Linked DNA regions of Saccharomyces cerevisiae S288C. The gene in region 1 interacts genetically with each later gene. Each region holds a gene or a part of one and is shown in the gene's direction. Other genes may lie near its edges.

Region 1 (8,249 bases):
TGGCTATTTATAATTCAAAATTATTGGGCAAAACAAAATAAAATCCCGCTGGTAGTTCGTTTACTGAAGTATATAAAGAGATATACTTTTTTCCACAAGTAGGCCAGTGAAAAGAACTCAAAAAATCACTAGCGCACAGGTCATGAACAGCAAATCTCAACAACAAGAACAACAACCAATTGTATTCGTCACCGGTACAGACACTGATGTTGGTAAAACCTTTGTATCAACATTATTGGTACACAAATGGAAAGCTGCATACTGGAAACCCGTACAAACTGGAATTGAGTCAGATCAAGGTGACTCCGAGACATTGAAAAATTTCAAAATAGCCGCATCAACTTGGCAACCACCTATATTCACGCCCACTTATGCGCTGCAGAAGCCTCTATCTCCGCTCCAGGCCATGGAGTACGAACCTAATGTCGACATCAGGTTGTTGGATTTCGTAGTTCCTGAAGAGTGGAGCGCAGAGAATCCATTGGTCGTAGAAGGAGCCGGCGGGGTTTGCGTTCCTATCACTCGTAAATTGGAAATTACGACGGATCTAATTAAACATCTGATTGAGACTAGCGGCCATCCAGTGTACGTAGTTGTCGTGGCACGCAGCGGGCTAGGGACTCTGAATCATACATTGCTGACTTGGAATCATCTTTGCGATAATGGCTTGAGAAGCCACCTTTTTGGGGTCATTCTCAATGGGGAACCGAATGAAGGCAACGTGCAGGCCCTGAAGAAGTTCGGTGTCAATATTATGGCACAGGTTGCACAATGTACTACGGCACATGATCAGGATATGGAGTTGCATGAACTGCCATCGGTGGAGTCATTAATGACCCAACAAGACGTAGAATAGTTTAAATAAAAAAGTTGCAAGGCTTTCATCAGCTATATATAAGTAGCATGGTATGAACAGAGTAGGGGCAGTGTTCCTATTTGTATATGAAAGAAATTTTTTTTTGTCTATTGTTCCAGATCGTCACAGGACGGAAATAAGAATGTCTAGTTCAGAAAGGTCAGAAGTCAAGTTTGACAAGCACTTTAATTGGTGGTCCCTATTAGGTATCGCGTTCTCATTAAGTTGCTCATGGGTCGGTATCTCAGCGTCGATGGCCGTTGGTATTGCCAGTGGAGGGCCACTGCTTATCATCTATGGGTTGATAATTGCTGCTTTTTTCAGTCTCATGTGTGGTATATCTCTGGGAGATTTTGCTGCTATCCTGCCAAACAGCAGCGGTGGTTCATTTTGGGTTCTTAAAATGTTGGAACAAGAATCAGTCACTTTGAAAACCCCTGAGTACGAGGACCCTTCTGACGATGATGAAGAAGTGTTCCTCGAGAATTATTGTCAAACTTTCAACGTGGAAGTTTCTTCTAAATTTCAAAAGGTTTCTTCCATGGTTGTAGGGTTGCTGAACTATTTCGGTGCCATTTTTACTACCGCAAGTATCTGCTCATCTTTGTCAATGAGCTGTATCGGTATTCATAAGTTGTTGCATCCGGACTACGAGTTAAAGCACTGGCATGTTTTTGTGGGTTACGAGTGTATCAATGCCGTTTTGACACTTTTCAACATTTATTCAACTCCGTTGCCCTATATCTCTCAGTTTGGGCTCTATACGTCTCTATTGTCTTTCGCCATGACTTTCATTATTTGTATTGTTTCAAGATCTGACAACACCGTAGACCCATGGCCCAAAGCTTCTAATATATTTGGGAGCTTTGATAATCAAACAGGCTGGAATTCGTCTGGAATGGCGTTTGTTGTCGGTTTGGTCAATCCGATCTGGGCATTTGTTGGCATTGACTCTGCTACGCACATGATTGATGAAGTGGGTTATAGTAAGTCACGTTTCTTAGTTCCCAAAGTTATTATCACTACCATCATTGTGGGCTTTGTAACTAGTTTTATTTATTGCGTTGGTTTGTTTTTCTGCATCACTGACCAAACGGCAGTCGTTGAGTCTATTTTACCTATCGTAGAAATATTTTACCAGGCCACTGGTAATAGGAATCTCAGTGTCTTCCTGCAATGTATGTGTATCACAACAGGTTTTGTTTCAGGCATTGCAAGTGGAACCTGGCAAAGTCGAATCCTCCAATCATTCGGGAAAAGTTACGCACCATTTTATAAAGAGGGTTCCTTGGGAAACAAATCCTTGAAGAAGCTAGCAGTGTTGACACCTGGGTTTAAGTCTCCATTATATGCCCATTTTTTGTCACAAATATGTGTAACGATAATTGGCTGTATATTTATGGGATCTAGTACCGCTTTCAACGCAATTATCACTGCATGCATCACCCTGTTACTAATGTCGTACGCAGTTCCTTCTTTTATATTCCTGTTCGTTATTAAAAAGGAAAAATTCATTCATAGAATCGAGAGTGACGTAAATTGTGTCAGCAGGCCTAACCGTCGTCGTATGTCTATGATTCCTCATATTATATGTATTCTATGGACCTTGTTCTGCCTGGTATTTTTATCTTTCCCATATACACTACCGGTTACTGCAGGAAACATGAATTACACCTCAGTAGTGTATGCAGTAGTTTTCTGCATTATCAGCATCGTTGTTTTCCCTACATGCATCTAAGATGCTGTTGAAAGAAAAACAGTCCTTATAAATTCCTAGGTCGATACTACCTTTTGTAGCTCTATCGTCAGAACTTCTGCCCTCCTGTATCATAGTTTCATAAAATAATTGTATATTTATTACCAGAAGTACCCTTGTATTACAAAACTAATCGCACACCACAAAGAGTAAAAGTAGGTACCATAGCAGCAGCGCTTAACCTATTCTCCGTCAGTATGAATGAAATATGTGGATTTCGATTACGATTCATTATAAGATCAGAACACATAAAGCCATTTTACTGAGCTATCTCAACTGCACAAACCATAACAAGTAAAAACTAGCTAGTGTAATTAGGAGATTATCGAAAGTCCTGGTCAAGCAGCAAGTTGGGCGAAAGTGTATTTTTGGTCCTTAAATAGTCCCGATTATGGGAAAATTACAAGTCATGACAAAATTTATTTTATAGGTGCACAAAATAGTCTGTAGATATTTTAATATCAAAAGAAAAAAGACGTATTCGCATGATAGTATATACCAAAGAAGAACGATTCAGAGAATGAATGTGGACAAGTTTTTTTGAGGAAAATGAAAACTAGAAAATCAAGGATATTGAGTACTTAGTCATTTTTTTCATTTTTTTCTTCGAGAAAATTTCTTTTTCATTACTTACTTATTTTTGCCAAGACATTTTTTTATCTTTTAAAATATATTCAAATAGTTCTTCTCTGAACAGAATTTTTCTCTCTTATGATGTACAATTACTTTCTTAAGTCACATATAATACCACACAATGCAAAAATTTCATGCATCAGCTCTCTAAGCTTTGAGAAATGTGTAGTTTGACGTTTACATCAAGGCCTGGTTGTGTCATATGAAATTCTACGGATATTTTTAGGGAGCTTTCGCCTAGCGAGAACAAAAGCATAACAAAAAAAGTTGCAGTTGATGAAAATTTTCTTTTTAGGATAAAGTTATTTTCCAGACAGAAAATTAAACTAAAGACCTCGCCGTTAACAAACCATAGTAGTTTAGACTATTTCCTAACCTTTCTATAGATTCATTTAATTGTCTATTGTCTTCAATCTAAACGATAAAGATAAATACGCAGTCGAATAAGAAAGAATTATCTGTATCAGTCTCTGAGGTAATATTTACTGAACCTCCTCTGCAAAAATAAAACAAGCCCATTTTGTTGTCGAAAGCGCTAGCATCCTTAATTTTACGATACTATTTCATGCTATTACTACCAAGTTGACATCCCTTATTATCTTATTTATTTGAAACTAGAAGAATAGCAAGTAAACACTAAATCCGAAAGAATCGAAGTATCATATTACAATCTACAGGATATAACAAAACAGCTTCGCAACTTTTGCATTTCTAACGAATATAAAGAAAAGAACTACTATAGAAGAAAGTTTGCGAGTGTGAATCTTAAATTTTTAACAGATGGACAAATATACCAACAGGGATCATCCGGACTATATTCCTGGCACATTTAACATCTATTCTTCCCAAAATTTGGAAAATGGTATTATATACGAATCAAAATTGAAGAAAACCTCCTCAGGAGTCGTCCTAATCCCTCAACCATCATACTCGCCAAATGATCCACTGAACTGGTCTAGCTGGAGGAAATTGGCTCATTTTGGTCTAATGGCCTTTATAACTGCGTTTACCGCCGCTACTAGTAACGACGCTGGTGCTGCTCAAGACTCATTGAATGAGATTTATGGGATATCCTACGATTCCATGAACACAGGGGCTGGTGTTCTTTTCCTAGGTATTGGTTGGTCCACTTTATTCTTGGCTCCATTTGCTAACTTGTATGGCAGGAAGATTACGTACATAGTTTGCACCACATTAGGTCTCTTTGGTGCGCTTTGGTTTGCTTTGGCCAAAAGAACGAGCGACACAATATGGTCTCAGTTGTTTGTAGGTATTAGTGAGTCCTGTGCTGAAGCCCAGGTGCAACTGTCCCTGAGCGACATTTTTTTCCAGCACCAATTGGGCTCCGTATTGACCGTGTATATCATGTGCACTAGTATCGGTACGTTCTTGGGCCCATTGATCGCTGGGTACATATCTGCATTTACCAACTTCCGTTGGGTCGGTTGGGTCGCAGTGATCATATCTGGTGGCCTTTTAATAACTATTATATTTGGCTGCGAAGAAACGTACTTCGACAGAGGCCAGTATATGACCCCTTTGACCAGCTGTCAATCGGGATACGAAGACGGTACCACTTTACAAAACTCTGACAATACGGCCGTGTCGCGCAGGAAACGTCATCTTGACGCTAAATTATCAACTCCTGGAGCCATGGGTGAGAAAGGTGTAGACCTTTCAGAGACGGCTGAATTCGAAGTTAACAATGAAGAGGAAGTTACCATACCTGAGACTCGCGAATTGATTGATGGTTCAAAAGAGCATTTGAAACCATACCCAAAAAGAGTAGCAATATTAACCAAAGCTACTAATTTGAAAGGCTACGGTTTTAAACAGTATTTCAAATATCTAAAGATCAACCTTAGAATGTTCTTATTCCCGCCAGTGTGGTTGTCTGGTATGTTTTGGGGTATTCAAGACGTTTTCCTGACGTTTTATTTGACCACTCAAGAAAGCGCCTACTACGAACCTCCATGGAACTATAGTGATTTTGGTGTCGCAATTATGAATGTTCCCACACTTATTGGAGCAGTCATCGGTTGTATCTGTGCTGGCATTGTTAGTGACTACTTTGTTCTTTGGATGGCTCGTCACAATAGAGGAATTTTAGAGGCAGAATTTAGACTATACTTCTCTATCGCAACTGCAATTATTGGGCCAGCGGGTTTGCTGATGTTTGGTATCGGTACCGCTAGACAATGGCCTTGGCAAGCTATATACGTCGGGTTGGGTTTTGTTGGGTTTGCATGGGGTTGTTCTGGTGATATTGCGATGGCGTATTTAATGGATTGTTACCCCGATATGGTTTTGGAAGGTATGGTTTGTACTGCTATTATTAACAACACGATATCTTGCATTTTCACCTTTACCTGTTCTGATTGGCTAGCTGCATCTGGTACTGAAAATACTTACATTGCTTTAGCTGTCATCAACTTTGGGATTACTGCATTTGCTTTACCAATGTACTACTATGGTAAGAGGATAAGACTTTGGACTAAGAGATGGTATTTGCAATCTGTCAATTTGAGAGACGGTGTGTAATTCAGAGACGTCTTTCTTGTATCTAGTAGATGATAGGAATTAAGTATTTTTTTTTTACCTAACTAGGATTATAATTGCAACAACAAAAGCGCCCTTCGTGAAACACGTGGGATACCGGTTAGGTAATATTACAGTTTCCTTACACACTTACTAAATACGCAACAGAGCATGTTATTAATCGTATATTTAAGTAATAATAACGTATTGACCATTCCTAAGACTGAAGCAGTACCAAGAAATGGCACTTTTTGTTTATATGACATAGTAAAAGTGTTCATTTGGCAGAAAACAAGGGTATCTGGATACTGCAATCCTCATTAGTTGCGGAGAGCTTTTTTAAAGTTTTATTACTTCGATAATGCTTTCCTCCAGAACTGGGCGCGCACTGAAGCCATAAACTGAGTGGTTGTCCCTGTGTATATTCTACAATCGCCTATTTGAAACTTCTGGGTGATAATATCGATTTAGCGATTGGGTTTCTCCCTTCTGAGATTCTGGATAAATGAGATGCTACCCTCACAGTAAAAACAGTACAAAACCTTTGTATAGTTCTAGTCAAATATGAACTCCTTCATTCATGGATTGTATACTATTGTTCTTGTTGAAAGATTCCTCTTGTGATTTTCATGGTGATTTTAAGCCTTTTTTATTGAAAGAATTAAATATTCACTAGGCTGCGATACGATAGACAAACGAAGTGATTGAAACCCGAATTAACGGATATGGCGATTATGTGTGTTTATGATCCCAATATTTGATTGTCGGAAAAAATTAATCATCTATTGGTGTGTACTCATACTACTTGTATCATATACAGTGTAAAATGACGACATAATTGATGGGAAACAGTTATCAAAGTTATTGGATGTTGAATTGCAAGAATTGATGAAGTAATAGGATAAGGAATGACAACGTATAAAATTGAAGGAGAAATAAAAATATATATTATATAGAAGTATCGGGCCCCTTTCGTAGATTCCTATATCCTACAGGATAACTTTTGGTACATTCTGTAGACCTAAGTTCATAGCTTTTATAAACAATTAATCCCAAAAAATGTCTCTTTTGATGATTAGATGTTAAAAGGTGATATTACTGACTACTTGTTCGAAGTGCCTACGCAACACTTTAGCTGCTTTTTTTAAGCAGCGGCAGATGAGGATTTAAATAACGCATAACCAAGAATATACCTAATGAAGTGAAGGTATACAGGCTGTTCTATGGACTTGAATAATACTGGCTACCCTGGCGTCCTAATGTCGTTAAGAAAGTAACTTGATATCAGATTAATCACAAACTTGGTCCACAAAATACCACTTATCTCATATAATCTAAATCTGACTAAAGGGTGTAGGCACGGAACTTCGGACCTAGAGGTATTGCTCAATATGTATATTTCTCAATGGTTCATCTAGGTAAGCAAGGCCTTGAATAATATACTTAATCTTGTCTGTTTCGCAACAATTGCTGAGTACAATAATGTTGGAATAAAAATCAACTATCATCTACTAACTAGTATTTACGTTACTAGTATATTATCATATACGGTGTTAGAAGATGACGCAAATGATGAGAAATAGTCATCTAAATTAGTGGAAGCTGAAACGCAAGGATTGATAATGTAATAGGATCAATGAATATTAACATATAAAATGATGATAATAATATTTATAGAATTGTGTAGAATTGCAGATTCCCTTTTATGGATTCCTAAATCCTCGAGGAGAACTTCTAGTATATCTACATACCTAATATTATAGCCTTAATCACAATGGAATCCCAACAATTATCTCAAAACTCACCCACTCTTCAAATAATGATGTGGTATACTACCTGAAATACGATAAAAAGTGTTGTATTACGGGCTCGAGTAATACCGGAGTGTCTTGACAATCCTAATATAAACAGTCTTAGGGAAGTAACCAGTTGTCAAAACAGTTTATCAGATTAATTCACGGAATGTTACTTATCTTATATATTATATAAAATATGAATCATGCTAAGTGGTGGAAGCGCGGAATCTCGGATCTAAACTAATTGTTCAGGCATTTATACTTTTGGGTAGTTCAGCTAGGGAAGGACGGGTTTTGTCTCATGTTGTTCGTTTTGTTATAAGGTTGTTTCATATGTGTTTTATGAACGTTTAGGATCTCAAAATGTCATACTGACGTATCTCATTTTGAGATACAACAAAAAGTATAAATCTTTGGAGGGTTGGCCGAGTGGTCTAAGGCGGCAGACTTAAGATCTGTTGGACGGTTGTCCGCGCGAGTTCGAACCTCGCATCCTTCAGTATTTTTTTTTATTTTGTCGGGGCCACCAGATCTTTAATGGCAAGACAAAGCGTTTTCAGATACATGAAATACATTGAAGCTATCTTTTTGAAGAAGAATACCTGCGTAGTGTTCTATGATTGTTCAAATAATATTTTAAAATGGTATTTTACTACTGTGTACATTTTAT
Region 2 (6,925 bases), on another chromosome or scaffold:
AGATAGACGTCCTGACCGCAAATAGGGCCAAAGTCCAACAGTTTAGCTCAACTTCGCATGTGGATGACGAGGACGTGAACTCCATAGCAGTGGCCAAAACAGATGGACTCAATCAACTATACAACCTCGTTGCCCAGGACTACGCTCTCACGGACACCATTGAGTGCTTATCTAGGATGCTGCACCGTGGCACCATTCCCCTCGATACTTTTGTCAAGCAAGGTCGTGAATTAGCACGCCAGCAATTCCTTGTGCGATGGCACATCCAACGAATCACCTCACCGTTATCGTGACTCACTTTCTTTCGCATCGCCGAAGTGCCATAAAAAATATTTTTTTAACCTTTACCTAACAAGAACGGGGAATGGTATATATGGAAGTACATAGTTCGTATATACAGAATCTTTAGAACATCTGAGCTCACTAACCCAGTCTTTCTAATGCTGAGATCGTTATTGCAAAGCGGCCACCGCAGGGTGGTTGCTTCTTCATGTGCTACCATGGTGCGTTGCAGTTCCTCGTCGACCTCCGCGTTGGCGTACAAGCAGATGCACAGACACGCAACAAGACCTCCCTTGCCCACACTAGACACTCCTTCCTGGAATGCCAACAGTGCCGTTTCATCCATCATTTACGAAACACCAGCGCCTTCTCGTCAACCAAGAAAACAGCATGTCTTGAACTGTTTGGTGCAAAACGAACCCGGTGTCTTGTCCAGAGTCTCGGGTACGTTAGCTGCCAGAGGCTTTAACATCGATTCGTTGGTCGTGTGCAACACCGAGGTCAAAGACCTAAGTAGAATGACCATTGTTTTGCAAGGGCAAGATGGCGTAGTCGAACAAGCACGCAGACAAATCGAAGACTTGGTCCCCGTCTACGCCGTCCTAGACTATACCAATTCTGAGATCATCAAAAGAGAGCTAGTGATGGCCAGAATCTCTCTATTGGGTACTGAATACTTCGAAGACCTACTATTGCACCACCACACTTCCACCAATGCTGGCGCCGCTGACTCCCAAGAATTGGTCGCCGAAATCAGAGAAAAGCAATTCCACCCTGCCAACTTGCCCGCCAGTGAGGTATTAAGGTTGAAGCACGAGCATTTGAACGATATCACCAACTTGACCAACAACTTTGGAGGTCGTGTCGTCGACATCAGCGAAACAAGCTGTATTGTGGAGTTGTCTGCAAAACCCACACGTATCTCTGCCTTCTTGAAGTTGGTCGAGCCATTCGGTGTCCTAGAGTGTGCAAGAAGCGGTATGATGGCATTGCCAAGAACTCCTTTGAAGACAAGCACCGAGGAAGCTGCCGACGAAGACGAAAAGATCAGCGAAATCGTCGACATTTCCCAACTACCACCTGGTTAGGTTAGTCTCTCGGCCTTGCGATCGCCCTCGGGACTCTCCTCTATACATCTATATAACGTATCTATAACCATGAGCCTATTTACTCATAAGTTGCTATGATTGTACGTTTGTACGAGGTGACGCGTTACTAAACTATTTTTTTCTTTTGGTTTTCTGCTTTCCTCTTCGATTTTGCCAGATACGAAAAAGGTTAAAGACACAATACCTTGGTGGCTTCTCTAAGTGGGGGGAGTTTTTCACAGCAAAACACACGGTCACCTTTCTTATTATGGACGGATATTGGGATGTTGTAGTGTCGTCCTTGCAAGACATATACAATGCCAACGAGGTCATTCCCTTTGATGATGAGCTGCAAACAAAAAAACTAAATTTCCTTAATATGTCAAAGGATCAGCTGCAATTGCATCTCAACACTTTCCAAGAACACATGGAAAACGTCAACAGAGTGCACCGAATCCTTGACAATGTACGTTCCAATTTGTCGTTGATGTTGAATCAGTCACGAGAGGAAAAGAGTGAGGAAAATACTGAAGATGCAGAAGAAGGAGAAGGGACACGCATGGCATTGTCGCAGGGCAAGAAAGCTGTGGGGAAAGTTGGCAGATCGTACTGGACCAGCGAATACAACCCAAATGCACCTATTTTGGTGGGCTCAGAGGTTGCCTATAAGCCCAGAAGGGGCAGTGCCGACGGCGAATGGATACAGTGTGAAGTACTCAAAGTCGTAGCAGATGGTACACGATTTGAAGTGAGAGATCCTGAACCTGATGAATTGGGCAACTCAGGCAAGGTGTATAAATGTAATCGGAAAGAACTACTGTTGATCCCGCCAGGCTTTCCCACTAAGAACTACCCGCCAGGTACTAAGGTTCTGGCAAGATATCCTGAAACGACCACTTTTTATCCTGCAATTGTCATCGGAACCAAGAGGGACGGCACTTGCAGGCTTCGATTTGATGGTGAAGAGGAAGTGGACAAAGAGACGGAAGTGACTCGCCGTCTAGTGCTGCCTTCGCCAACGGCTTTGGCAAACCTAGCAAGGAAATAGCAATGGTGGTTAACATTTACTACATATCATAAGATCTTCTCATGGCATTTTGTCATTATTTTGGTATCGTCGGAAGTGATGTATTCACTTGAAGGTGAAAAAAATTGAAAAAAAATGAAAGCTTGGATGAAATCAATTATATTGAGGATTTCCCATTAGAAATAAGCTATGGGCGAAAAGGAAACAAACATCAGCTGGATTTTTTCGCCAAGATGGAGAGAGAGCTAGGGATGTATGGAAATGATAGGAGTAGATCAAGATCACCTGTACGTCGTCGTTTGAGCGACGACAGAGACAGGTACGATGATTATAACGATAGTAGCAGTAATAATGGTAATGGCAGTCGTCGTCAGAGACGCGACCGAGGCTCCCGTTTCAATGATCGGTACGATCAGAGTTATGGTGGCAGCCGCTACCACGATGATAGGAACTGGCCCCCTCGCCGAGGAGGCCGTGGCAGAGGAGGAAGCAGATCATTCAGAGGGGGACGCGGTGGCGGTAGGGGTCGTACTTTAGGTCCAATTGTTGAAAGAGACTTAGAAAGGCAATTTGACGCGACCAAGAGAAATTTTGAAAATAGTATCTTCGTGAGAAACTTGACTTTTGATTGTACCCCTGAAGACCTTAAGGAATTGTTTGGTACAGTGGGCGAAGTTGTGGAGGCTGACATTATCACATCAAAGGGCCATCACCGTGGTATGGGGACTGTGGAATTTACCAAAAACGAATCTGTCCAAGATGCCATATCGAAGTTTGATGGTGCCCTCTTTATGGACCGGAAACTAATGGTAAGACAGGATAATCCTCCTCCTGAAGCTGCCAAGGAATTTTCTAAGAAAGCTACTAGGGAAGAAATAGATAATGGGTTTGAAGTGTTCATCATCAATTTACCGTACTCTATGAATTGGCAATCCTTAAAAGATATGTTTAAAGAATGTGGTCATGTCTTGCGTGCCGATGTAGAATTGGATTTCAACGGATTTTCAAGAGGATTCGGTTCTGTCATTTATCCTACTGAGGATGAAATGATTAGAGCTATCGATACATTCAACGGCATGGAAGTAGAAGGTAGAGTTTTGGAAGTTAGAGAAGGGCGTTTCAACAAGAGAAAGAACAATGATCGTTATAATCAAAGGCGTGAGGACCTTGAAGATACCAGAGGTACTGAACCAGGTCTTGCGCAGGATGCCGCTGTCCACATTGATGAAACTGCAGCAAAATTTACTGAAGGTGTCAATCCAGGAGGGGATAGAAACTGTTTCATTTATTGTAGTAATTTACCATTCTCAACAGCAAGAAGCGATTTATTCGACTTGTTTGGGCCTATCGGCAAAATCAATAACGCGGAATTGAAACCACAGGAAAATGGTCAACCAACTGGTGTTGCTGTTGTAGAATATGAAAATTTAGTAGATGCAGATTTTTGTATTCAAAAATTAAATAATTATAATTATGGTGGTTGTAGTTTACAGATCTCTTATGCTAGACGTGATTAATTCCTAAGCACCAACCGAACCATGACCTGTGTACTTTATGATAACGTATAAATAATAAGGAAGCGGGCGGGTTATAAATAACTTTAATAGTTATATTTATCATTTTGACCAAAAAGAATAACCTTATTTAATCCCTGTAAAAGAGCACCACTTCCAGCGATGAGATGCGAAAAGCGAAGAAAAAAAAAAAAAAAAAAAGGGTATTCTAAACTGAATATATAAAAACTGCCACCAATTAAGAGAAGAAAAGCTACACAATTAATTTCCAAAAATTGCAAATACGAGTATGAAGAGTTTGTTCTATCTCAAATTGCTCCTCTGGGTTGTGCTATTGTCTTTATGCCTTCTTATGGCACACCGGAAAACCAAAGTTGGTATGTATATTTAAGCATTTGAAAATGCAAAGTGCAAACCGTATCTAAATACTAACAGCTGTAATAGCCGACAAATTTCGTGCACTGCGTTCAAGAATACAATTACGTTTTAATAGACATATACGTTTAAATGATTCCTTTGCTGATGACCTAGAAAACGGTCTCCATTCCAGGAATTTCGATATTATCTCGGAGAATAGCAACGACGTAAGAGGTGGTTTGGATGATGTCTCCAAGAATGAGATTAAACAAATTATGGAAAACGATAATGTAGATTTCGATAAGGCTAGACTATTATATATGGAAAGAAAGTTCGGCCAAAATGGTATTGCCCCCGATGGAACCCCTATTGATCCAAAAGCATTCACCTTTGATAGTAGGTAAAGGTATCTAATATATTCAGTTTTACTTAAGTGGGAGGTTTTTCCCCCTTTTTCTTATTTGTCCATATTTTATGTAAATGTATACATTGCATTAAATTAAAAAGAAAAAAAAAATCAATAAAACACTCAATAAAATTTCAGTTTCTCTGGGCCACCAACAGCGCAGTTCTGTTTCCCATCTTCATCTTCATCGTCACTCAACGCAACAAAATCTTTTAAGTACGCGTACGAAGCATCTTTAGTTAACAGCATATTTGTCATATTACCGATAGATCCCTCTCCAGTATATTTGTATTTTCTACTGTCGTTGTTTTTCAAAGGAACAGTATTACGCTCTGGCGTCAATGCTTTAGTTCTCCTACTTAGATCAGCAAAGTCAATTTTGCTAGGGGAAACCCAAATGGGCTCGTCTTTTTGTTTCTTTCGAAGGAACCCCTCTTTCTCATGCTTTGTGCTACTCTGAGGCAAAACATAGATTAATGGTCCACTAGGAGACTCTTGAACTTTCTGAGCATTTCCTAACACGGTTTTATTCGAACTTAAGTCGGATGATATTTTCATATTGTCAGTACTCATGGAGGTATTTCCAAATGCTATATTAAATGAACTGAATTCTAAATCATCTAACAGTTCGGTAGGTTTTTGATCAATATTACCGCTACTCAACTTATCGTCTGTGCTCTTGTTATTTGAAGTTGTAACGTTAATACTTCGCGGAGTATTTGGAAGTTCTTCCACCGGAAATTCAGCAGTGGGTTCCTCTGCTGGAGTATAGAATCTGTCATCCGGAATTTCATCTTGGGATGGAAATTTTAATTCCATCAGCCTTTTGTCAGGTTCATCATTGTTGTGAGTATCATAAGTGAACGAAATATCAGATGGAGAGCCATTTTCATATTTTCTAGTGTCTTCAAAAGTCCTTCCGATAATTCTCACAGGCGATGTTCTAATAACTTTGAATGCTGGGGGCTTCTCGATTTTTGGAATAGAATTGGATGGATTATTATTACCGACATCTTCATTACCGGTTTTGCTGCCCTTCAATTCTTCCTTAAGTTCTTCTTCAATTTCGAAGAATTTGTCATCACTTTTTTCAATACCCGAGTCATCTAGATGCGCCTTAGGCAAATAAGTTGGGATAGGTTGCTGCATTTCATACTCAATCACTTCAGAAATTTGAGTCATTCTTTCCGCCTTGGCATCATCCTGACTTTTATTTATAATTGCCGCATCTTCCTCAGTATTGACTTTTAGTCCCTCACTTAAGGAGACTTGACTAGCCAAGCGTTTCCAGTTATAATGGGCATCATGCTTATCTAAAACCACCCTCATTCCTTGAAAGAGCTCAATATAGGATGGTGACCTTTGAAAGTTAATTTTTGAAGCTGGCGGCGCTAACCTAGGAATAGTGGGGAATATTTCTTTCCGTTCAGTTATTCCTTCAACAAAATTTTTTGGTTTAGTTATTTCTTTCGCTGTTTCTTTATCACTGTAATCATCTCCTAATTTTATGTCCTTTGCGTCCTTCCCTTCATTGTTGGTATCTTTTAATTCATTAGAATTTTCTGTCAGCACTTTACTCGCTTGTGGAGAGAGTTTCTGCGTCAATGTAGATGCATCTTCATTAGTTTTGAGAGATATGTTAGTGTTTTCATTTGATACGCCCTTTTCTTGGGGCACCTTTCCCTCTGGAAACAAATTACTCGAGCTGTTAATGTTCTCCTGTTTATTACGGTAATGCTTAGGAATAAAATCACCAAAGAGGTCATCGTTAAAAACTCTACTTTCATTCTGTCTGTGTTCATCGTCATCACTTAAGTTTTCAACATCAGCTGCACGTAAAAATTCGCTTTGGGTATCAATACGTTGGTCCCCAGCCGATGTTGTAGAAACCCTATTTGCTGTAGTCACCTCAGCAAGGTCTGGCAGCTCTTTATTTCCATGAACTGATGACGAATTCGTCGCCTTCCCAATTATTTGATCATCTGTTTCTGCATCAAGTTTTTCAGGATAAGAAGACGCAGATACCTCTACATCTGCAAAATTGGAAATGTTATCCTGCTTTGTGGATTGATCCGCTTTTGGTTCGACATTTTTTTCGTTACTGGTATTTTCTGTCACAGGCTGAGAGGGATTGTAGGAGACATATTTTGTATCCCTTACTACTGAAGATATTCTGGTATTTTCTTGAGGATGTGCGCCATTTCCAACATCAGGTGGTTTTCCGATCAAGTCATCAGATTTGAATTCAACT
Region 3 (7,699 bases), on another chromosome or scaffold:
GTCTTCAACTTGCCATTGTTCCCAACAACAACTATTGGTTCCTTCCCTCAAACCAAGGACATCAGAATTAACAGAAACAAATTCAACAAGGGCACCATCTCTGCTGAAGAATATGAAAAATTCATCAATTCTGAAATTGAAAAGGTCATCAGATTCCAAGAAGAAATTGGTTTGGATGTCTTAGTCCACGGTGAACCAGAAAGAAACGATATGGTTCAATACTTCGGTGAACAAATCAACGGTTATGCTTTCACTGTTAACGGTTGGGTTCAATCTTACGGTTCCAGATATGTCAGACCACCAATTATTGTTGGTGACTTGTCCAGACCAAAGGCTATGTCCGTCAAGGAATCTGTTTACGCTCAATCCATCACTTCTAAGCCAGTAAAGGGTATGTTGACTGGTCCAATTACCTGTTTGAGATGGTCTTTCCCAAGAGACGATGTCGACCAAAAAACTCAAGCTATGCAATTAGCTTTGGCTTTGAGAGATGAAGTCAATGATTTGGAAGCTGCCGGTATCAAGGTTATCCAAGTTGATGAACCAGCTTTAAGAGAAGGTTTACCATTGAGAGAAGGTACTGAGAGATCTGCTTACTACACCTGGGCTGCCGAAGCTTTCAGAGTTGCTACTTCTGGTGTTGCTAACAAGACTCAAATACACTCTCATTTCTGTTACTCTGACTTGGATCCAAACCATATCAAGGCTTTGGATGCTGATGTTGTTTCCATCGAATTCTCTAAGAAGGACGATGCTAACTACATTGCTGAATTCAAAAACTATCCAAACCACATTGGTCTAGGTTTATTCGATATTCATTCTCCAAGAATTCCATCAAAGGATGAATTTATCGCCAAGATTTCAACCATCTTGAAGAGCTACCCAGCTGAAAAGTTCTGGGTTAACCCAGATTGTGGTTTGAAGACTAGAGGCTGGGAAGAAACTAGATTGTCTTTGACTCATATGGTCGAAGCCGCCAAGTACTTCCGTGAACAATACAAGAATTAAGGTTTTAAAAAGGAAGCAAAGTAATGATATTTTCTGAACTTTTTGTTTTTTATTCTGGGATTCAACATCGGTGATTTAATTTTTGTGTTCACATTTAAAAGTTTATTTGGGTAATTTTTTGATATCAATTTTATTACAAAGCCATAACTCTTGCATTTTTTTTATTATATTTTTATATACACGTACATTCTGTATTATTTATAACGCATTCAACATTCGTTTTCTAAAATTTCCTATATTTTTTGAACAAAAATTTTTTGGTTGTAAGTCGGACCAAATGTATATGTCGAAAGAATAATACTTTTCAGGATCCTGCTATACATCATTATATCATATTATTCGAAAACTATAAAAATGTCGTCTAAGGGGAAAAAAACAGAGAATGCCCTTTTTAAGCTGATCCTACGATATCGGCCCACAATTCTTCTGCTTGCACAATAGTACTGTGATTGGCCATCATTTTATTCATGGTTTCGACATATTCATCGTACTCATCTGAATCGTAAACAATACCACCGCCAGCTTGCAAGTAAGCAATGCCATCTTTATAGACCATAGTCCTTAAAGCGATACAATTGTCCATTGTTTTACCGTCGTATGACCAATGACCTACGGCGCCTGCATAAACCCCACGCCTTTCTCCTTCTAGTTCGGCAATCAATTCCATGGCTCTAACCTTTGGAGCACCACTGACAGTACCTGCAGGGAAAATCGATCTGAATGCATCAAATCTTGTCTTTTCTGGGCGGAGAACACCGCTGACTTGAGAAACCAGATGTTGGACATGAGAAAATTTTTGAATAGTTAACAGTTTATCGACACTTGTTGTTAATGGGTCACAAATTCTGTTAATATCGTTTCTTGCTAAATCTACCAGCATAACATGTTCTGCACGGTCTTTTAACGAGCCACGTAATTGGTCCGCTAAAGCATCATCCTCTTCAGTAGTAGCCCCACGTTTGACAGTACCAGCAATTGGATGGGTAATGACTCTATTTTTGGAATCCGATTTGCACAACAATTCTGGAGATGCACCAATGATTTGGAAATCCAAACAATCAATATAAAACAGGTAAGGAGATGGGTTCACTGTACGTAAATGTCTGTAAATATTGAAAGGATGTAACGAAGTTGGCCTTGCCACTCTTTGCGATGGCACACCTTGAATAATATCACCTTTCTTAATATGCTTCTTCAAAGTGGAGACGTGATTTTCGTAACCTTCCTTGCCCACATTCGATTCAAAAGTTTGATTCAATTTAATAGGAGGTTGTTCTGGATATGGTATTGGCGAGGAATCGTCGGTTAGCTTTGATACGATATCAGTGATTATTTGTGCTGCAGCTTGGTAACCTTCCTCCAACGAAGTTTCATTGGTATTAATGTTATGAATGATTTGAAATCTCTGAAAAACATTATCAAAGGCAATAATGGTATCACAAAGCATTAAATATGCCTCTGGAAGTCTTAGGACATCTTTCAAAGGCCTTCTTGTTTTTGGCTCGAAATAACGAACACAGTCATAAGAAATATAACCAATAGCACCACCACTTAATTTCGGTAAACCAGGAACATTTTCGGCTACTTTAAAGGTAGACATCTCCTTTTCCAAAATTTCCAAAGGATCTGTTTCAATGCCTTCAGTAGGACCGGTTTTGATGGTCTTGCGTGGCGAGATACCTATGAATGAATAACGATCTAATTCATTATTTGTCTTAGCACTTTCCAACAGAAATGATTCCTTTCTATCAGGGTTGTTCAATTGTGCCAATTTTAGATATGCCACGTGAGGAGTCAGATCCAATGATGGCAAATACGCATACACGGGATACATATTTATGGAACTATCGTCATTTTGCTGCTGTAATTGCTTTAGAGAGTCAATATCCGGTTGAATTTTGATGGAAGCGGTCATTTTTTGCCTTTTTTCCAATCAGAATATCAGTGCTAATTATCGATTGTGGCCTCGGTTTTAAAGTGATGATTGCCTTCTGCTACGATGGACCATAGCCCTTTAGTCATGTTAATATATCAAAATCTAACAATACTTCGATGAGTGAAAAATCGTAATGAGTCAGCAAATCACTGTGTACGTTAATGCCTTTAACAACTTTTTTTTTCCCACAAACTACTTCAACGATTGAAAGGATTATTCTAAAAAAAAAAATATCATGCTGATAAATGGAAGGGGATGGTAAAACAAAGAAAACCAGCCAATTCGGATTCTGACAGAGCAAATTGAAACTGGATATTATAGTGCTAAGTATATAGACTTCTGTTTTGTTCTTTAAAACTAAATAAAAAAAATTCACCCTCCTCCCCACGGAATAAAACTACAACAAGTTCTGTTATCAAGGACAATTAGTGTATATTAGTTGTTGTAACATTTTTTACTTTCTCTTTTTTTTTTTCATTGATTAATTATAACTATTCGTTCGAGATAGTAGTTTTCCGATTAATAACATCCCTAGGATTTTGACTATTCCATTGTTGTATAAAATATAGAGAACCAGAAAAAGAAAAATGGGACAAATTCTATCAAACCCGGTAATTGATAAAGAGAGCCACTCCGGTGCTGACTCCTTGACCGCGTTTGGACTGTGTGCAATGCAAGGGTGGCGGATGTCAATGGAGGATTCACACATTCTAGAGCCTAATGTTTTGACAAAGTCCGATAAGGACCATATTGCATTTTACGGTATATTCGATGGTCATGGTGGCGCTAAAGTAGCAGAATACTGTGGTAATAAAATAGTGGAGATCCTGCAAGAGCAGAAATCGTTCCATGAAGGAAATTTACCAAGGGCTTTGATTGATACTTTCATAAACACAGACGTGAAACTGTTACAAGATCCTGTGATGAAAGAAGACCATAGCGGATGTACGGCTACATCCATATTAGTATCAAAGTCCCAGAACTTGTTAGTATGTGGTAACGCTGGTGACAGTAGAACCGTACTCGCCACCGACGGGAACGCAAAGGCATTATCATACGATCACAAGCCCACTCTAGCAAGCGAAAAATCACGTATTGTGGCAGCTGATGGCTTCGTAGAAATGGATAGGGTCAACGGTAACTTGGCGCTCTCTCGTGCCATTGGTGATTTTGAGTTCAAATCCAACCCCAAATTGGGCCCCGAGGAGCAAATAGTGACATGTGTTCCGGACATTCTCGAGCATTCTCTAGATTACGATAGGGACGAGTTTGTAATCTTAGCCTGTGATGGTATCTGGGATTGTTTGACTTCCCAAGATTGTGTGGACTTGGTTCATCTCGGCCTTCGCGAAGGCAAGACATTGAATGAAATTTCTTCGCGGATCATCGATGTCTGTTGTGCTCCCACCACAGAGGGGACGGGTATTGGATGCGACAACATGAGTATAGTGGTTGTCGCGCTGCTGAAAGAAGGTGAAGACGTCGCTCAATGGAGCGACCGTATGAAGTCCAAGGCCCACCGCACATCAGTGCGTTCTTTTGCAGACAAGAGAAGAAGGGTGTTTAGTTACTACGATTTTTCCAAATGTAACGACGAACAGGTGTTCGCTATCACTACGAAGAAACCTCAGGACAAATTCACTCGCGACCACGAAGCCGCTGTGGCCTCGGTGACTGCCGCCGATAACGACGATCCAATGGACATAGACGACACGGACGCTGACACAGATGCAGAAAATCTTGACCCTTCCAGCCAATCCAAGAGCAAGACCTCCGGCCCCATTGATCTAGCATCCTTGGAGGCGCTACTTGGTGCTACAGGAGGAGTGAAGACAGACAGCAACGGGAACAAAGTCACCTACACTCTTCCCCAGTCTGCCTTGGCCCAACTGCTCCAAACCATGGGCCATGACCCGGCTTCCTCCCATCCCGAGAATGACAGTAACACTGACCACAAGGCCGGCCGTTCCCACTTGCAATGAAGGATCTTCCATCCTTCATTATATATACATACCTATATACGAACCGAACGAACAGAAAGAGAAGAGAAGACGCAAGACACCACCAGAACCAAGAGCATACACCACTACCACCACCATCGCTACCAACAGCAGGATATCCGGATGCAGTTTGACGCTTGAAGATGGTATTCACCTCAGGGGTAAACGCGCAGAAACTGCGCGTTTACCTGCAGCGACGCCACAAAAACGGACCGGCCCGGCCAGAGGGTGAGACCAGCAGCGGCCCCGTTGTGAAATCTCACCCCCAGTCCCGGATGGGCACGAGTCCCCAGCGCCCGTCCCATGAGGTCCTCCTAAGGTAGACAGCGCGGATGTTTCCGATGCAAAGGAGAAAGGATGGACGGTACAGACATCGTAGACAGGATTCGCGCATTGCCTTGCACATCTGTGCCCCATCCAATCTACCGTATCTATTGTTATCGTCGTGTGTGCTACTCTTTTCTCCGACAGCCTCGACAAGACGGAATCAGAAAGTGCACACAGTTTAAAAAGGAAAAAAACCGAGTACAACAAAAACAGGGACAGGTTTTGAAAAGTGTTCTTTTCTTTGCATCTTCTCTATTTCTTCTCTCTTTCGTCCTGTTTGGTATCTTGTTGTATTTTTTCTCTCTTTTGTAGTATATTTATCCGTGTTTCCTCCTTTTCACAGTCAGTTCATCCGACCTCATCGAATAGCTTCCGTGCACGTTCCAGTCTTCCCTCCCTTCTCTGCTCCGTGATGTCCATTTCAACCAGTTTGAACTCAGCTTCCATTCATTTGAGCAGCATGGACACCCATCCTCAGCTACACTCACTCACTCGTCAGCCACACTCGTCGTCAACAGCTATGTCCAAGAACGAAGCCCAGGAATCTTCGCCCTCTCTGCCAGCTTCCTCTTCATCGTCGACTTCGGCATCGGCATCTGCGTCTTCCAAGAATTCGAGCAAGAACCCTTCCTCTTGGGACCCTCAAGATGATCTGCTGCTACGTCATTTAAAGGAGGTCAAGAAAATGGGCTGGAAGGATATTTCGCAATACTTCCCAAACAGGACTCCTAACGCGTGTCAGTTCAGATGGAGAAGGTTGAAGTCTGGTAACTTGAAGTCGAACAAGACTGCTTTGATCGACATCAACACCTATACGGGCCCACTCAAGATCACCCACGGCGATGAGACTGCCAACGCTCAGCAAAAGCCCAGCAAGAAGGTAGAAGAAAACGTATTAACGGAAGATACTGCTGAGTTCACTACAACGTCATCCATCCCGATTCCCTCCAGAAAGACCTCGTTGCCTTCGTTTCACGCATCGATGTCATTTTCTCAATCTCCGTCCAATGTGACTCCCACTACGATTGTCTCAAACGCTGCTTCTTCCATGCCGTTCGCTCCTCCCACGCTGCCGGCCGCACTCCCTCATCATCCTCATCAACACCTACACCACCATCCCCATCATAAGACTCTAAAGCCAAGGTCAAACTCTCACTCCTTCACCAATTCTTTGAACCAAGACCCCATCGTTCGGTCTAATGATGAGGAGAAGTATGGATTCATTCCTAAAGTATTCGTTAGATCCAGAAGAAGTTCGTTTGCCTATCCACAACAGGTAGCAATAACCACTACTCCGTCTTCTCCAAACTCTTCGCATGTCTTACTAAGCTCAAAGTCAAGAAGGGGCTCGCTTGCGAATTGGTCCAGAAGATCATCGTTTAATGTTTCAAGTAACAACACTTCAAGACGGTCTTCAATGATTCTTGCACCAAATTCCGTGTCAAACATATTCAATGTCAACAATAGCGGCAGTAACACTGCTTCTACTTCTAATACCAACTCAAGAAGGGAATCTGTCATCAAGAAGGAATTTCAGCAAAGATTAAACAACTTAAGTAACAGTGGAGGTCCTACCTCCAACAACGGGCCCATTTTCCCCAACTCTTATACCTTTATGGATCTCCCACATTCTTCATCGGTGTCATCGTCATCCACTTTGCATAAGTCTAAACGAGGTTCGTTTTCTGGCCATTCTATGAAGTCATCGTGTAATCCGACTAATCTATGGTCAAAAGATGAAGACGCTTTGCTAATGGAAAACAAAAAGAGAAACCTATCCGTTATGGAACTATCCATTCTTTTGCCGCAGAGAACTGAGGTGGAAATTCAATGGAGATTAAACGCCTTGTCAAGTGATGCGGATATGTTGTCTCCTACACATTCACCTCAAAAAACTCTGTCCAAGAAAACTTGTCCAAGAATGTTCAAAAGTGGTTCTACCACTGATGATGACAAAGGTAGCGACAAAGAGGACGTTATGGGTGATGGTAGTAACGATGATGACGAAGATAATGTAGACCCGCTGCACCGTGCTAAACAATCCAGTAACAAGACTGTCTTTTCATCCAGCAGTTCCAACATATCCTCCAAAGACGTTTCACCGGATCCGATCTTTTCACCGGATCCCGCAGATGATTCATCGAATACTTCTGATGCTGGTTCTAGGTGCACCATAACCTCCGATACCAGCTCCTCGGCTGCAACCATGAATCGCACCCCTAATTCCAAAAACCCGCAAGATATTGCTTTGTTAAACAACTTTCGTTCTGAAGCCATTACTCCGAGACCGAAGCCTTCTTCCACAACTACATCCATCACTACCGAAACCACCAATAACATGATAAACCACTCTAGTTCTACAACTACTACCACAAACAACAGTCCGCTGCCAAGCATAAACACTATCTTCAAGGATATGCTGTGAGGG
Region 4 (7,882 bases), on another chromosome or scaffold:
CATCTTGTCTCTGCCGCTTTCGTCGAATCTGACTTTGCAATTGACGTTGCATATCAACGTGCCGGATCCCGGAATAGCGTGATAGTCTACTCCTGTTAGGGCATGTTGTGTTTGTACGACCTGGTTTTGCCACATTTGCAGAAAAACTGTTGCTTGCGCGAAGGGGGTAGCATTAAATATTATTCTGCAGTTGTTTGGATTAAAAAGCTGTACGAATTGGGCCAATTTGTTGGAGTCCGGATCATCCAAATGCGCTAATATCTTCTTCGTAAATGTGGCCGTTATTTGTGCTTGATTTGCGTCATTCATTACCATAGTATTACTATTGGTGTTCATATTTCTGTTATTACTGTTATTAGTTTGGCGTTTTGCCTGACGATCAGCCTGGTGGGGCCAAGTATATACTATAAAAACAGGTTAGTTACTTGCTCTATGCGTTTGCGCATCCTCTTTTTACTTTTTTTTTTTCAGTAAAGCCTAAGCATAAATCGTTTTATACGTACGACACGTTCAACTTTTCTTGGTTAGTAGTGGCAATCTCTGCAATACATACAGGGAGTCATGGTCTATCATCTTGTCCAATCAAAGAAGCATCGGTTCAGATCGAGCAAACTGTAGGGAGAAAGGAAAGTAGAAATGCAGAGTGTGCTATATGTCCAATCTCGGTTTTGTAGTTTGGATGTCATTAGAGATCTACCACCCAACCGGCTGCTTTCATGTGGAACAGAAAAGAAATCGGGGCGCTTCCTCTTCTGTATTCCTTTAATTAACGTTTTTATTCAGCCATCTAACCATCATACCCCCATACGGTAACAAAACCTCTTCTAAGAAAAGAAGTCTCTGCTCCTCCGCCATCTTATTTTTATTCGCTGCGCGCGTTTATTGTCGCATCGCTAGCCAGCAAAAAGTTGGTTGCCTTTTTTTACCTAAAAAAGACACATCTAACTGATTAGTTTTCCGTTTTAGGATATTGACGCCAAGCGTGCGTCTGATTTCTACGATATGTCTCTAATTTTGGAAGGGCCATTTTATTTTTGAGGATTGGGCTGATCATTTTCCTTACGTGGATTGAGCCAGCAATACAGATCATTATTAAACTGTTTTGTACATGATGTTAGTATATAATCGTAAAGCTTTTCTAATATGTATACCTTATACATGGAACTCCACAGAACTTGCAAACATACCAAAAATCCTTTATTCTTGTTCACTCATTTTACATCAAAAAATAATATTTCAGTTATTAAGGAAAATAAAAAAATAGATTAGAGAAGCATTTTGAAGAAATAGTATATTCTTTTATTGAACCTAAGAGCGTGATATTTTTACTCGAAATAAAATACGAAAAATCTATACACTCATCTTTCCGACTACTATTGGCTCCTGCTCAAAAAAAGAGGGAAAAAAAGCTCCAAAATTCTATCTTTTCCTATCGCTCCTGTCCTATCCTTATTACGTTCATTACTATTTTAATACTATCCATTCTTTTATTTTCAGTCTAAAAAAAACATTTCTCATAACGGGAAAAGCAAAAAAATGTCAAGCTTATACATCAAAACACCACTGCATGCATTATCTGCTGGTCCGGATTCTCATGCAAATAGCTCCTATTATGACAATCTTTTATTGCCTTCATTTTCCAATTTATCCAGTAATATCAGCAGGAACAATATCACAACCGATAACAATATAAATTCAGCAAGTCCTAGGAAGTATTCGTTTCATTCGCTCAATGTGTCGCCAATTCTTTCCCCAATATCTTTGGCTAACGAAATACTTGGAAAAAAATCAAATACTGCACCAGCATCGCCACATCATATGGATTACAATCCAATTTCCTCATTAACACCAGGCAATTCACCAGAATTCAACAAGGCAAGCTTATCTCAGATTAGTTTTACAAATCCATTGAACTATGGGTCTGGCTTAGGTTTTTCCTCTAATTCACAACCTCGACTACCATTGTTAGACAGGCTATCGTCCGTCTCTTTATCTAAGAGACCGGAGCGCCCACAACAAAGCCTACCATCACTAAGGCATCTGCAATTATTACCCAGTCCTCTTTTACAAGAAAACGCAGCACGCTTCCCTGATACATCAAAACGTACATCTAATTGGAAAACTGATCTTACCCATTGGTGTAAGGATACAAACTATCAAGACTATGTTAAAATACGCGAAGAAGTGGCTCATTTCAAGCCATTAAGTATACCCAACTTAACTAATAATCAAAATAATGATAGTTTCAATTACGGCAAGGAATTGGAATCGACTAGGTCGTCCAAGTTCCATTCCCCGTCTAAGGAATCATTTGATCGTACCAAACTAATTCCTTCGATTCTAGAAGCTAAAGATCAATTTAAAGATCTTTCCAACAATGCATGGAGTATTACTCCTCCCGTCACACCGCCGATGAGTCCACCAACCAATAGAACCATGGAGCGCACGACGCTTAGAGGAGTAGAGGCCTCTTTTTTTGAGGGGAAATCCAGCAATAACGATTCAATATTCAATCCAATTATTAGTGAAAAATTGGTTCAAGAAGTTAAACATCAAAGACAATTACGTGGAAATTCATTTCCCATGCCAAATGCCAGTCACAAAAAGACGAACAGTTTCAAAGCTTTGCAAATAAAAAAATTGCTTGCGAATAGAGACATTCTATCGAACAATTCCAAATCTAATGTAAGGAAACCATCTAAGAACAAAATCTCAAAGCAAGCATCAAATGTTTTCGGTAACACTGCAAGACAATTGGTGATGAAACTCGACAACGCTAGTTACAGTTCTGTCTCTGCATCTTCATCTCCATCTCCCTCCACACCGACGAAAAGTGGCAAGATGAGATCAAGATCATCCTCACCTGTGCGTCCCAAGGCATACACTCCAAGCCCAAGGTCACCCAATTATCATAGATTTGCTCTCGACTCTCCCCCTCAAAGCCCTCGAAGATCATCAAATTCAAGCATAACGAAAAAGGGAAGTAGAAGGTCCAGTGGCTCATCACCCACTCGTCACACCACAAGAGTGTGCGTGTCGTGTCATTCGAGTGATTCGCCCTGTTGGAGGCCATCGTGGTCGCCAAGAAAGCAAGATCAGCTATGTAACTCTTGTGGTCTTCGATATAAAAAAACACATACAAGATGTTTGAACGATTTATGTCGTAAGATCCCCACAAAGGGTGAAATAAACATTATGAAATCCAATGGAATAGACAAAGAATTCGTCCCCGAACGCAACTGCGAAATTGAAGGGTACCGTTGCTTATTTTGTAATTACATAACTGAGACAGTAGAGAATTGATACATGGATAACTGAATCTCTTTCAACTAATAAGAGACATTATCACGAAACAATTGTACATTTCTCTCCTTGTCTGTGCTAAATAAACTACAAATAAAAATTCATTTTCTTTCATTTTCATTCGACACGCCGCGGCATCTTCGTTTTCTTCACCGATTAATTTTAATCTGCGCCGTGCAGATATTTTCGCCCATTTCGAAGTGAAATCATTCTAATAACTTCTCCTGCGCAATAGATTGGTCATCCTGATTTTTATTCTGAAATCGAAAATGAAAAGCATTTATTGCACTGAAATAGCGGAACCTGCTTCTAATAAGCTTAAAATTCAATCATAATAGTGTAGTTAATAGAAAGGACAGAAGAACTTTTCGTTCCTTGGTTTATCATCCAGGTTTCAGCACGGCTTTTGTTTCAAGTTTAAGTAGGTAAGATTTTTTGATTGTTCTACAACTTTTTCATAGTAATCAAAACCTTTGAATTTCAAACTTACTATGTCTAGTACTCAAGTAGGAAATGCTCTATCTAGTTCCACTACTACTTTAGTGGACTTGTCTAATTCTACGGTTACCCAAAAGAAGCAATATTATAAAGATGGCGAGACGCTGCACAATCTTTTGCTTGAACTAAAGAATAACCAAGATTTGGAACTTTTACCGCATGAACAAGCGCATCCTAAAATATTTCAAGCGCTCAAGGCTCGTATTGGTAGAATTAATAATGAAACGTGCGACCCCGGTGAGGAGAACTCGTTTTTCATATGCGATTTGGGAGAAGTCAAGAGATTATTCAACAACTGGGTGAAGGAGCTTCCTAGAATTAAGCCATTTTATGCCGTCAAATGTAATCCTGATACCAAGGTTTTGTCATTATTAGCAGAGTTGGGCGTTAATTTCGATTGCGCTTCCAAAGTGGAAATTGACAGAGTATTATCGATGAACATCTCGCCGGATAGAATTGTTTACGCTAATCCTTGTAAAGTAGCATCTTTCATTAGATATGCAGCTTCAAAAAATGTAATGAAGTCTACTTTTGACAATGTAGAAGAATTGCATAAAATCAAAAAGTTTCATCCTGAGTCTCAGTTGTTATTAAGAATCGCTACCGATGACTCTACCGCTCAATGTCGACTTTCCACCAAATATGGCTGTGAAATGGAAAACGTAGACGTTTTATTAAAGGCTATAAAGGAACTAGGTTTAAACCTGGCTGGTGTTTCTTTCCACGTCGGTTCAGGCGCTTCTGATTTTACAAGCTTATACAAAGCCGTTAGAGATGCAAGAACGGTATTTGACAAAGCTGCTAACGAATACGGGTTGCCCCCTTTGAAGATTTTGGATGTAGGTGGTGGATTTCAATTTGAATCCTTCAAAGAATCAACTGCTGTTTTGCGTCTAGCGCTAGAGGAATTTTTCCCTGTAGGTTGTGGTGTTGATATAATTGCAGAGCCTGGCAGATACTTTGTAGCTACAGCGTTCACTTTGGCATCTCATGTGATTGCGAAGAGAAAACTGTCTGAGAATGAAGCAATGATTTACACTAACGATGGTGTATACGGGAACATGAATTGTATTTTATTCGATCATCAAGAGCCCCATCCAAGAACCCTTTATCATAATTTGGAATTTCATTACGACGATTTTGAATCCACTACTGCGGTCCTCGACTCTATCAACAAAACAAGATCTGAGTATCCATATAAAGTTTCCATCTGGGGACCCACATGTGATGGTTTGGATTGTATTGCCAAAGAGTATTACATGAAGCATGATGTTATAGTCGGTGATTGGTTTTATTTTCCTGCCCTGGGTGCCTACACATCATCGGCGGCTACTCAATTCAACGGCTTTGAGCAGACTGCGGATATAGTATACATAGACTCTGAACTCGATTGAAGGATATATTTAACCACGACTTTCGCAAGAGAGACGGAGGGGGTGGGAAAAGGCTGAATGCAACCATTGTCACTAAGAATTTGAGTGTTCATGAACGAGTTATACACGCTATTTAAGAGTCAGAGAATGATGATTCAAGAAAATTCTGGCATTTTTCCTGTCCACCACTGTACGCCATTGTACACAAAAGTATTTTTTTATATTTTTTTTACAATTTTTTATAATTTTTTTTTATGTTTAGTGTATATTTGCTAGAAAGAAACAAGATCTTTTTTGGTAGTGTAAATGCTTAAACTTTGTCTCTTTTTCCTTTTTACTTTGGAAAAATGCCGACGCAAGAACATAGACATCTGCGAAAACCAAAAATAAAGTACCAATTGTACATACAAAAACAGAGAAAAAGTTCATGAACAGAACGTTACTACGGTATAGCAAGATCTTTGAATACATCCATTACTTCGGATTGTTCACCATACTTCAACACAGGCCAAGATAGACCATAGCTACAGTGATAGACGAATATTTATTTCAAAAGAAGCATCAACCATAAAATAAAAAGAAAAATGATGAAAAAAAAACCAAAGTGCCAAATTGCAAGGACCAAACCATCGGTCGAAAACGTCATACCATATAACCAATTCAAGAAGACGCAGCCGCGATTCAACGGCAACTTTTCTGCACTGAATAATGAAGAATACATAATACTCTTTGGCGGAGGTCGGGACCTGATACTAGGCTCCCTGACACCTTGTTCGAGCTCTCATTTGTCCAATCAAGCCAACCCACAAGACACCAGTGAGTATGGCACAGACCTGTTTATACTCAACAGCTGCATTATCATTTGGTTCAATGGCTTGGGATATGGGCTGGAAATTCCCTACAGCAGCGTTTTGTACCATGCATCAAGACGGCTACCAGATGGTAGGGAAGGGCTTCAATTAGAAATTTTGCTGACTTTGGAAAGAGACGAAGTGTTGGACATGCTCTACCAAAGCCTCGCGCCACAGGCCTGCGAATTCGACGGCGAAGAAGCACATGCCTTCACCGTGCGCAGCGTGGAATTGACTATCAGGCCCAAATATTCAATATACGATCGCCATTATAACAACGAAATCGAAACCCTTTTCACCTTCGAAAACTTCGGCGTGAACAGGGGCGATGACCTGGTAAACAATTGTAACGAAGCACTAGCCGTATGCATGGACCTGCACGGTGAGGACGTACAAGATCAAGACCAGGAACAATACCAAGATCCAAGCATGGCGTTTGAGGGTGCGCAAGATCTCAACGCCACGTATTCTGGGCTTGGAGACACCCTTCACGGGCCGCCCGTGTATCAGAACGACGGGCTGGCAGACGATCTGGATGGCGACCTCGTTATGGACAACGTGGTCTCTAGGGGTGGTCCAGAAGCAAGTATGTCTATGGAGTTCTACGCAAATCAAAATCTTGCTGGCAGAAAGAACTCCAGAGACAATGAATGAACAACATCTATTATGGGAACATCCCGCTGTACTATGCGGTCTCGTCCTCTACGAATATGGCTATTTGCCTTCGTATATACCTTTCTATACCAAGTAATGAATGTCTTGAGGGCCCGTATGGCCGCGCGAAGGCTTAGTTAAGATGTTTCAGCAAACGGCAGCATGTGAAAAAACCCGTAGAAGGTCCGCATCAGCCTTCCATGCCCGTGCACCCACGGCTCCTCGGAGGCCGGGTTATAGCAGCGTCTGCTCCGCATCACGATACACGAGGTGCAGGCACGGTTCACTACTCCCCTGGCCTCCAACAAACGACGGCCAAAAACTTCACATGCCGCCCAGCCAAGCATAATTACGCAACAGCGATCTTTCCGTCGCACAAGTTAAAAGAAATTGTTGAAAAATACAAATAATCGCGAACAATACGTTGTTGCTATTTAACGCTTTTGGTCTGACAGTAAGTGTGCCTTTCCCAATCACCGAAAAGTGTTGAACGATTCACTGCGACAATAATCAGAGATTACAGTCGGCATTTTGGCATTTTTGGCATACTTTTTATCGATTGAACCATCTTCTCCAAACACTTTTCCTTTTTCCTTCTATTCTGCAGGACCAACTAAAACTGGGTATATATATCATTATCTATATATATAAACGGCTTTCAACAAAGTTATAGGGGAAAACTAAAAATATAAGAAAAAAAAAGGTATTGATTGATAAGGAAAAAGAACCAAGGGAAAAATATAAAAAAGTACATTGGGCCTTTTCATACTTGTTATCACTTACATTACAAAGAAGAACAAACAACTTTTTTAAACGAATTTTCTTTCTTCCTTTTTCAATTTATTAATTCTTTTTTTCCATACAATTCAAGGTCAAATATATTCTTATATGCTCTTTGAATATTTCTGAAAAATATATAAAGAAAAGAAACTACAAGAACATCATCCGGAAAATCAGATTATAGACTAGGATTCCGCTCTTTTTAGTATATTTATTCGCCACACCTAACTGCTCTATTATTCGCTCATTATGGACGCTTACTCCACAAGACCATTAACCCTATCTCACGGTTCTTTAGAGCACGTGCTTCTGGTACCAACCGCTTCATTTTTCATTGCTTCGCAATTACAAGAACAATTTAATAAAATTTTGCCCGAACCCACTGAAGGGTTTGCTGCAGATGACGAGCCTACCACACCTGCT

What was found.
Region 2: mutations in HOL1 (region 1) and SGF29 together harm fitness more than expected from each alone (negative genetic interaction), as found in Saccharomyces cerevisiae (2 studies listed by BioGRID).
Region 3: mutations in HOL1 (region 1) and PTC2 together harm fitness more than expected from each alone (negative genetic interaction), as found in Saccharomyces cerevisiae (2 studies listed by BioGRID).
Region 4: mutations in HOL1 (region 1) and SPE1 together harm fitness more than expected from each alone (negative genetic interaction), as found in Saccharomyces cerevisiae (3 studies listed by BioGRID, with this or other methods).

Annotation. Positions count from the first base shown.
Region 1 is NC_001146.8:725,963-734,211, reverse strand, and holds HOL1 (Hol1p), read left to right. Parts: upstream 1-4,025; coding exon 4,026-5,786; downstream 5,787-8,249. Other genes in the region: BIO4 (dethiobiotin synthase), read left to right, coding at 143-856; BIO5 (Bio5p), read left to right, coding at 909-2,594. UniProt on the Saccharomyces cerevisiae protein: Seems to be involved in the uptake of several cations and of histidinol.
Region 2 is NC_001135.5:99,064-105,988, reverse strand, and holds SGF29 (Sgf29p), read left to right. Parts: upstream 1-1,638; coding exon 1,639-2,418; downstream 2,419-6,925. Other genes in the region: ubiquitin-binding ESCRT-I subunit protein STP22, read left to right, coding at 1-293; ILV6 (acetolactate synthase regulatory subunit), read left to right, coding at 441-1,370; GBP2 (single-stranded telomeric DNA-binding/mRNA-binding protein), read left to right, coding at 2,631-3,914; YCL012C (uncharacterized protein), read left to right, coding at 4,201-4,288, 4,356-4,672; BUD3 (Bud3p), read right to left, coding at 4,798-6,925. UniProt on the Saccharomyces cerevisiae protein: Chromatin reader component of the transcription coactivator SAGA complex. SAGA acts as a general cofactor required for essentially all RNA polymerase II transcription.
Region 3 is NC_001137.3:333,173-340,871, reverse strand, and holds PTC2 (type 2C protein phosphatase PTC2), read left to right. Parts: upstream 1-3,531; coding exon 3,532-4,926; downstream 4,927-7,699. Other genes in the region: MET6 (5-methyltetrahydropteroyltriglutamate-homocysteine S-methyltransferase), read left to right, coding at 1-1,008; anthranilate synthase TRP2, read right to left, coding at 1,400-2,923; DOT6 (Dot6p), read left to right, coding at 5,684-7,696. UniProt on the Saccharomyces cerevisiae protein: Dephosphorylating regulator for many key proteins. Dephosphorylates the cell cycle master regulator CDC28/cyclin-dependent kinase 1; its activity appears redundant with phosphatase PTC3.
Region 4 is NC_001143.9:92,963-100,844, forward strand, and holds SPE1 (ornithine decarboxylase SPE1), read left to right. Parts: upstream 1-3,794; coding exon 3,795-5,195; downstream 5,196-7,882. Other genes in the region: MTR2 (Mtr2p), read right to left, coding at 1-336; DNA-binding transcription repressor ASH1, read left to right, coding at 1,537-3,303; YKL183C-A (uncharacterized protein), read right to left, coding at 5,433-5,645; LOT5 (Lot5p), read left to right, coding at 5,759-6,679; tetrafunctional fatty acid synthase subunit FAS1, read left to right, coding at 7,709-7,882. UniProt on the Saccharomyces cerevisiae protein: Catalyzes the first and rate-limiting step of polyamine biosynthesis that converts ornithine into putrescine, which is the precursor for the polyamines, spermidine and spermine.